Linked DNA regions of Macaca fascicularis. The protein of the gene in region 1 purifies or fractionates together with the protein of each later gene. This does not show direct contact. Links are inferred from orthologs where the notes say so. Each region holds a gene or a part of one and is shown on either strand. Other genes may lie near its edges.

The links.
Region 2: the proteins of MYO1C (region 1) and SMARCA5 purify together in Homo sapiens (affinity purification with western blotting; 3 studies listed by BioGRID, with this or other methods). This does not show direct contact. The link is inferred for Macaca fascicularis from reciprocal best matches to the Homo sapiens genes MYO1C and SMARCA5.

Annotation. Positions count from the first base shown.
Region 1 is NC_088390.1:1,589,048-1,592,609, reverse strand, and holds part of MYO1C (unconventional myosin-Ic), read left to right. Parts: intron 1-363; coding exon 364-483; intron 484-603; coding exon 604-686; intron 687-899; coding exon 900-1,005; intron 1,006-1,118; coding exon 1,119-1,199; intron 1,200-1,492; coding exon 1,493-1,584; intron 1,585-3,562.
Region 2 is NC_088379.1:148,622,907-148,627,153, forward strand, and holds the start of SMARCA5 (SWI/SNF-related matrix-associated actin-dependent regulator of chromatin subfamily A member 5), read left to right. Parts: upstream 1-1,444; 5' UTR 1,445-1,667; coding exon 1,668-1,844; intron 1,845-4,247. UniProt on the Homo sapiens protein: ATPase that possesses intrinsic ATP-dependent nucleosome-remodeling activity.

The DNA of each region.
Region 1 (3,562 bases):
TCATGCTTGTAACCCCAGCACTTGGGGAGGCTGAGGTAGGGTGGGTCACCTGAGGTCAGGAGTTCGAGACCATCCTGGCCAACATGGTGAAACCCCATCTCTACTAAAATGCAAAAATTAGCCGGGTGTGGTGGTGGGCGTCTGTCATCCCAGCTACTCAGACCTGTCCCTCTACCACCTTCCCACTGGGGCGGCCACCTGTCCTCCCTGAGGTCCCACTACCAGCACCCCTCCCCACACCACAGGCTCGCTGGAGCTGGGCGTGCAGAGTGGTGACGGCTTCCTGGTCTGCCTGAGCCTGGGGGCAGGTGGGATGCAAGAGCTGTGTGGCATTCATCTCCTTGCCTCACGCTGCGCCCACAGCTCCTGAGCCCGCTGAACCTGGAGCAGGCCGCCTATGCGCGAGACGCTCTCGCCAAGGCTGTGTACAGCCGCACTTTTACCTGGCTCGTGGGGAAGATCAACAGGTCGCTGGCCTCCAAGGTGAGGGCTCACTCCACACTGCTCCCGAGGCAGGAGGGAGGGCCATCAGTGGGGCGGGGGGCTGCGGGGTGGGGCTGGCACACGCAGGGGTCCACGCCTTCGGTTGAATGACTGCCCTAGGATGCGGAGAGCCCCAGCTGGCGGAGTACCACGGTTCTCGGGCTCCTGGATATTTATGGCTTCGAAGTGTTTCAGCATAACAGGTCAGTGCCACGTTTCCCCCGTCTCCTCCCAGGCTCCTGTCCTGCTCCCTCTCTTCCGTCCCCCAGCCTCTCATTCCTGCCCCGTGACTCCCCAGCCAGCCGGGGACTGGCTCTGTGTCTCACCTCCTATGCTCAGGGGCCTCGTCCAGCCTTTCCCCTCTGCTGGTCCTATGTCCCCACTGAGCCACTGTGGACGCTTCTCCTTCCTTACAGCTTTGAGCAGTTCTGCATCAATTACTGCAACGAGAAGCTGCAGCAGCTCTTCATCGAGCTCACGCTCAAGTCGGAGCAGGAGGAGTACGAGGCAGAGGGCATCGCGGTGTGTGCAAGCCTGAGGGCACTCTCTGGGCCATGGGGAGCCTGGGCATCGGGGCCCCTGGGAGAGGGTGCCAGGACACCACGGTGATGCCTGCCTTCCTTTCTGCCCCTCAGTGGGAGCCCGTCCAGTATTTCAACAACAAGATCATCTGTGATCTGGTGGAGGAGAAGTTTAAGGGCATCATCTCGATTTTGGTGAGTCCTCTGTGCCTTCAAGGCCTCGTGCTGGAGGCTGGGTGGGAGGATGTCCCCGTTCTCCGTTCTCTCCAGGCTGGTCCACAGAGGGCCAGAGTCTGGGGCTGAGTAAAGACAGGGCAGGGCTGTGAATGGCGGATGGAGGGAGGCGCCGCCCCGGTCAGAAGCTCTATGGAGGCTCCCAGTGATCTGCCCCCTCCCCTGTGTCTGAGCCTCCCAGCATGGTGACCCCAATCCTCTATGCTCTCTGGCCCCTCCCCCATATGTCCCTCCCCCTGTGCCACACCCCCCAGGATGAGGAGTGTCTGCGCCCCGGGGAGGCCACGGACCTGACCTTCCTAGAGAAACTGGAGGACACAGTCAAGCACCATCCACACTTCCTGACGTGAGTGGGGCCGCGGGGCTGCTGGGGGCGAGGACTCACTTGTGGCAGAACCTGCAGAGTGCGGGAGTCCCTCCCCGATCCCAAAACACCAGCCACAAGGAGGTGACCAAGTGCTGAGTTAAGGACCCCTCATGTGTGTCCAAAAACTAAGAAGCTTAGCCAGGCACGCTGACACACACCTGGAGTCCCATCTGTGCAGAAGGCTGGGGCGAGAGCATCACTAGCCCTGCAGTTTTGAGGCTGCAGTGAGCTAGGATCAACCCACTGCACTCCAGCCTGGGCTACAGAGCAAGAGCCTATCTCAAAAAGTAAAAAAAAACAGCTGGGCGTGGTAACTCACACCTATAATCCCAGCACTTTGGGGAGGCCAAGGTGGGTGGATCATTTGAGGTCAAGAGTTCAAGATCAGCCTGGCCAACATGGTGAAACCCCGTCTCTACTAAAAATACAAAAGTTAGCTGGGCGTGGTGGCAGGCACCTGTAATCCCAGCTACTTGGGAGGCTGAGGCAGGAGAATCGCTTGAACCCGGGAGGTGGAGGGTGCAGTGAGTTGAGATCTCACCATTGCACTCCAGCCTGGGTGACAAGAGCGAGACTTCGACCCAAAAAAAAAGAAAGATGCTAGTAGCCTGGCTTCCTCCCTGTTCTTTTTTTTTTTTTTTTGAGACGGAGTCTTGCTCTGTCGCCCAGGCTGGGGTGCAGTGGCCGGATCTCAGCTCACTGCAAGCTCCGCCTCCCGGGTTTACGCCATTCTCCTGCCTCAGCCTCCCGAGTAGCTGGGACTACAGGCACCCGCCACCTCGCCCGGCTAGTTTTTTGTATTTTTTAGTAGAGATGGGGTTTCACCGTGTTAGCCAGGATGGTCTCAATCTCCTGACCTCGTGATCTACCCGTCTCGGCCTCCCAAAGTGCTGGGATTACAGGCTTGAGCCACCGCGCCCAGCCCCTGTTCTTTTTTGAGAATGAAACTTGCTAGGCCAGGCTCAGTGGCTCATGCCTGTAATTCCAGCACTTTAGGAGGCCAAGGCAAGCAAATCATGAGGTCAGGAGATCGAGACCATCCTGGCTAACACGGTGAAACCCCCGTCTCTACTAAAAAAAATACAAAAAACTAGCCGGGCGAGGTGGCGGGCACCTGTAGTCCCAGCTACTCGGGAGGCTGAGGCAGGAGAATGGCCTGAGCCTGGGAGGCGGAGCTTGCAGTGAGCCGAGATCGCGCCACTGCACTTCAGCCTGGGCCAAAGTGCGTGACTCTGTCTCAAAAAATAAATAAATAAAAGAACCTTGCTGAGATTTTTCCTTATTTGGAAACTGCTTTTTATTGAAGGAATCCCCTGAGGTGGGGCGAGGTGGGAACAGGAGTAAGTGCCTCTGTCCAGCGCGGTCTCACGCGTGCCGTGCACGTCGTAGCTTCTCCTGCGGCCGCTCCGGGAGGGGTTCTTGGTGTTTTCTCACTGAGACTCCAAGAGGCAGAGGCACTTCCCCGAAGTTACCTCTCATCTAGGTTGCCGAGCTGGGGTCAGTCCCAGGGCTGCTGAATGCCAAATCCATGAGTATTTTTTGCATAATAAGATACTGAGGCCGGCCGCGGTGGCTCATGCCTGTAATCCCAGCACTTTGGGAGGCCGAGACGGGCGGATCACAAAGTCAGGAGATCGAGACCATCCTGGCTAACATGGTGAAACCCCGTCTCTACTAAAAAAAACCAAAAAACTAGCCGGGCGAGGTGGCGGCGCCTGTAGTCCCAGCTACTCGGGAGGCTGAGGCAGGAGAATGGCGTGAACGCGGGAGGCGGAGCTTGCAGTGAGCTGAGATCCAGCCACTGCACTCCAGCCCGGGCGACAGAGCGAGACTCCGTCTCAACAACAACAACAAAAAAAAAGATATTGAAAATTTGTCTCTGGATGGGCACAGTGGCTCACGCCTGTCATCCCAACACTGTGGGAGGCCGAGGTGGGCGGATCACCTGAGGCCAGGA
Region 2 (4,247 bases), on another chromosome or scaffold:
AAAGACGTAACTTTTAATACTGGATTCAGCCTACTGCTGTTAGCTTTTTGCAGTTACATATGAAGAGTATGATGAACATCATTGTAGGTATTTATCTTTGCACATATCCTTAGACATTTCCTTACAGTCTAAGAACTAGCATTTCTAGTGGAGTGGGGACATTTTTCCAGATGTCAATTAAAGAATTATTCCATTAGTTAAAAAATTTGCAGGCTATATATTCAAAGGAGATCCCTTTTGTTTGGAATTCAACATAACCAGTTAGCTCAAACCTCAACTCTTGAAAAATGTGCCTCCTTTATTCAACAAACATTTATAGAATACTGGATATGACGAATAAAAAAAGATAAATAAGACCCTGTGCTGGGCAGATAATCTACTGTAGTATGCAGATTTGTTATCAAATAGACTACAATGTATTTAAATTTTGCAGGAGATGAATGCACAAGGCCCTTAAGCTACATTGAAGGCTGCCTAAGGCAGTATACAAAATTAGTGCTGAACACTTGAGAAAGTGCGTTTTAATTTTAATGTTTGATGCTTGAGGAAAAGATTACATCATACCACCTATCTTCCCCACATACTATTTGTGTTTCTCACTTACATGGTAGTGTGCATGTTATTTGCTTACCTTTAGCATATAAATTCAGAAGAAATAGCATTTAACTCTGTGCTTAAAGAGGATATTTAGAAATAACTGACGCAGCTAACATGAGAAGGCAAAAAAACAAAACAAAAACCAAAAAAGAAAAAACTAACGGACTTTTTTTTTTTTTTTTTAACAAAACAGTGAGACGTCACTTGGGGTAACCATAACGTCGTCAAGGCTGTGGCGTCACGCCTCTAAGCGGATACGGCAGAAGTTTTGGGGTCAGACACAAGACTTCCAAGTTTGAATGGGCAGCGCAAAACTCAGGCAAGTTTTCCAGTAGTGCCGCCGATCCCAGCCAGGCCCGGAAGACACAACGAGAACCGTGAGCCGTTACGAAAGCCTAAAACACTGAGCTCGCGTCCTGCCAGACAGCAGACGCACAAACCTACGCCTCCGAGCGCTCCCTCGAGGTCCCGCCTACTCTTCTCTCCCGAGCCCGCTAGAGGTCTGGAGGAGGAGGGGCCAAGGGTGAGGAGGAGGGGCCAAGGGTAAGGAGGACAGTATGAGCATGCGCACTCAGTACCCAGTCAGTGAACCAATAAGGAATCTCGCGAGGGTTGAAAGTCGGTGGCGTAGGTAGTCGTCCTGGATGCTGGCGAGATAGACGATATCTGCCAGAGGAAGAGGAGGAGGAGGCGGCGAAGCGTTTTCCCAGCCTCAGTCTCTGTTTCGTTTTCCTTTTCCCTTCCCCCAACCCTCCGCCCTTCTCTAAATCAGCCCGCCTTCCTTGACCTCAGTGACCCGTCTGGCCCCGCCCATCCTCGTCGACGTGATTCCCGCCGTGAGGTAAGCGCCGGTGGAACCTAGAGCCCCGCGGAAGAGCAGAACGTCTGGGAGTGTGTAGCTCCTGGGCCCGGCTCAGGCCCGTCGCGGAGGCGCGGCGCGGGGGAGCGCTCGGGTGGGAGTCTCGCTCCTCCACCAGTTTATTGCGACGTAGCCACCCGGGCCTAGGCCTCCCCGTCCATCCCCGCCGGACTCGGCCTCTGGCAGCAGCGGGTGACGCAGACGGAACATCATGTCGTCCGCGGCCGAGCCTCCGCCACCCCCGCCTCCCGAGAGCGCGCCTTCCAAGCCCGCAGCCTCGACCGCCAGCGGCGGGAGCAACAGCAGCAACAAAGGCGGCCCCGAGGGCGTCGCTGCGCAGGCGGTTGCGTCTGCGGCCAGCGCGGGTCCCGCAGACGCCGAGATGGAGGTGAGGGCAGCTTGCGGCGTGGGGAGCGGGCGCAGCGGGGAGGAGGAGCTGGCTCCCTCGCCGGATCGTGGCGATCGGACGCAGAGCCGGGCTTCTCTCTCTGCACCAGACTCAGCTTCACACCCTGTGGATACGAAATGATGCTCTCACCCTTGCTCCCTTGTTCTTAACCTATTGGAGCCAAGCAAAATGGATTTCCGGCTCCTCACATTGAAATTATTTGTCTCTTTCGTGAATCTTGACAAATCTTTGAATGCTCTCAATGAACAGATGTTCTTGGTTACCGTGGCCCAGGGGGACCCATCTTTTTTTCGCACTAGACTCCCATAATTCCCTCTCCTACCTCTGAATGTGGTTTTTAGTTTCCACCAAACTTCGGGGAAGGGCGAGGAGATGACCCCTTAGGAGCGGGATGCACGGGCAGGGTGAAGGAGGCATTTAAAAGCAGCGCGTCCGAGGACTTGGGCCTCTTTTTCTTCTTCCCGGTCTTTGCGGGGGCGGTATCTGTTCTGGGCAGAAACAATGGCGAGAGCTGGATGGCCGAGTGCGCAGTGGGGATAAGCGGGGCGCAGCTGCTTCTGTGAAGGGAGAGGAAGCCCCTCCCAGGCACTGTTCCACTGGAAGGGAAGCAACCAAGGCAGCAGCAGCTGTCTCGGATCCCCCATCGAATTTAGGGGGGATGAGTAAGTGTAGGAATGAATTAGAGAACCAGGCGCAGTTGATTGGCTCTCAGTCCGGCACTTTTTCTCTTTTTGGCGTCTCGCCTTAAAAAAAAAAAAAAATTAGTACCACTCGGCTCCCGAGACTTCTGGGTTTGGGTTGTCCAGAGGATGCTGACGGTACTTAGGGGGCTGGAAAGATGGGGAAGCTGCCAGGCGGGTAAATTGGATATGCCTCCAGGCTTTGCAATATCTGGGGAAAAAGTAATTGCTCCTTCCAATTGTTATTCTTGGCCTTCGACCTGTTTTGAAATATTTTGTAAGTCGGAGCCCAAAGATTTCTGGGATTTTCCTATCCTTAGAATGAAGGTAATACTGCTCCGAAGATGAGTCTTGACGCACAATCGTTGTACAGTGGGGAAATGGGAGCGTAGTTTACCATTGAGGCATTTGGCACAGTAGTTTTATTTGGGTAGCTGGGGTTAGGTAACATTAATGTTAGTAATCTTTTAAAGAACTTTTAGTGTGAGGGTAGGTTTAGTGACATAGGAACTCCTGATGGTTCCTGTAGTTTTGAGTGATTAGGATAAGATTTCTTTCAAATTAAAATATATTCAGTGTTGCCTTTTTTCCCCTTAAGGAAATGGTTCTCTTGGGTTACCAGGGCTCTTTAACTTGAATTCGGTTCCAAGGCTTAAGGGGTTTGACACAAAGCAATTGTGTGTAAATGTGCAGTTCTGGACAAAAATCTGTTCATAGTTATCCTCAGCCTCTCAAAGGGGGGTCTGCCATCCAAACTTTGGAAAAATAAATTTTCACCAGAGGTCTTGTTAATATCTGAATACAGTAATTTTAAGCCAAAAGCAAGTCAACTTTTTTGACTTGAAGTTGTTATTTTAAATGAAAATTGATTTTAAGTTTAAATGTGAGTATAGATGATGTCACTACCGTATTAAATTAGTGATATTTTCATTTGCCAGATGGGGAATTTGAGTTCTGCTAGGTAGAACCTGTGATAAAACTCAGGTCTGCCTTTAAAAGTGAGCCTTTTCCCACCCATCTTACTCTGCCGTGTTCTTACCAAAAAAACGTATTTGGCAGTTCAATTTATTGAATAACATAGTTATTTTTACCTTCCTAGTATAGAAGTATTAGGAATTTTTTTTTTATCCATCTTATCACTGACTCATTTTGTTGTTGTTGTTGACAGTGTGATTTTTTTGTCTTAAAATGCACCGTCAGTTTCCTGTTCAGAATCACTGCAATTCATGATCAAAACTAAGTTTGAGCACACATGCCTAATATATGTCACAACTTAATCTGTTTTGCACTTGGAAAATGAATATTTTATAAATGACTTTTTCTTGTTTGGAAGTATGATCTAAGGTGTTTTTCTAAAATCACAGAATAAACTCAGCATTCATGAATTTTGTGTGTGTGTGTGTGTGTGTGTGTGTGTGTGTGTGTGTGTGTGGCAAAGCTGATTTTCCCAGAAATAGCCTGCCTATGTATTCAGTTACTTTTTTTCTTTTTGCATGATACTAACAGGTCAATGGAGCAACTTGTTTTTTAGTTATCCTTTTGGCAATGTGGAACTCTTCTGTGTTCATCCTCATCTTTATTGACTAGATTGATATGCCAATAATGATGATGTCAAAATGCCTGGAAGTCAGGTTTTTTGGTTTTTTTTTTTTAAACTGTGGAAGAAATAATGACTACCGTTGGAAAGCACATTTTATTTTTG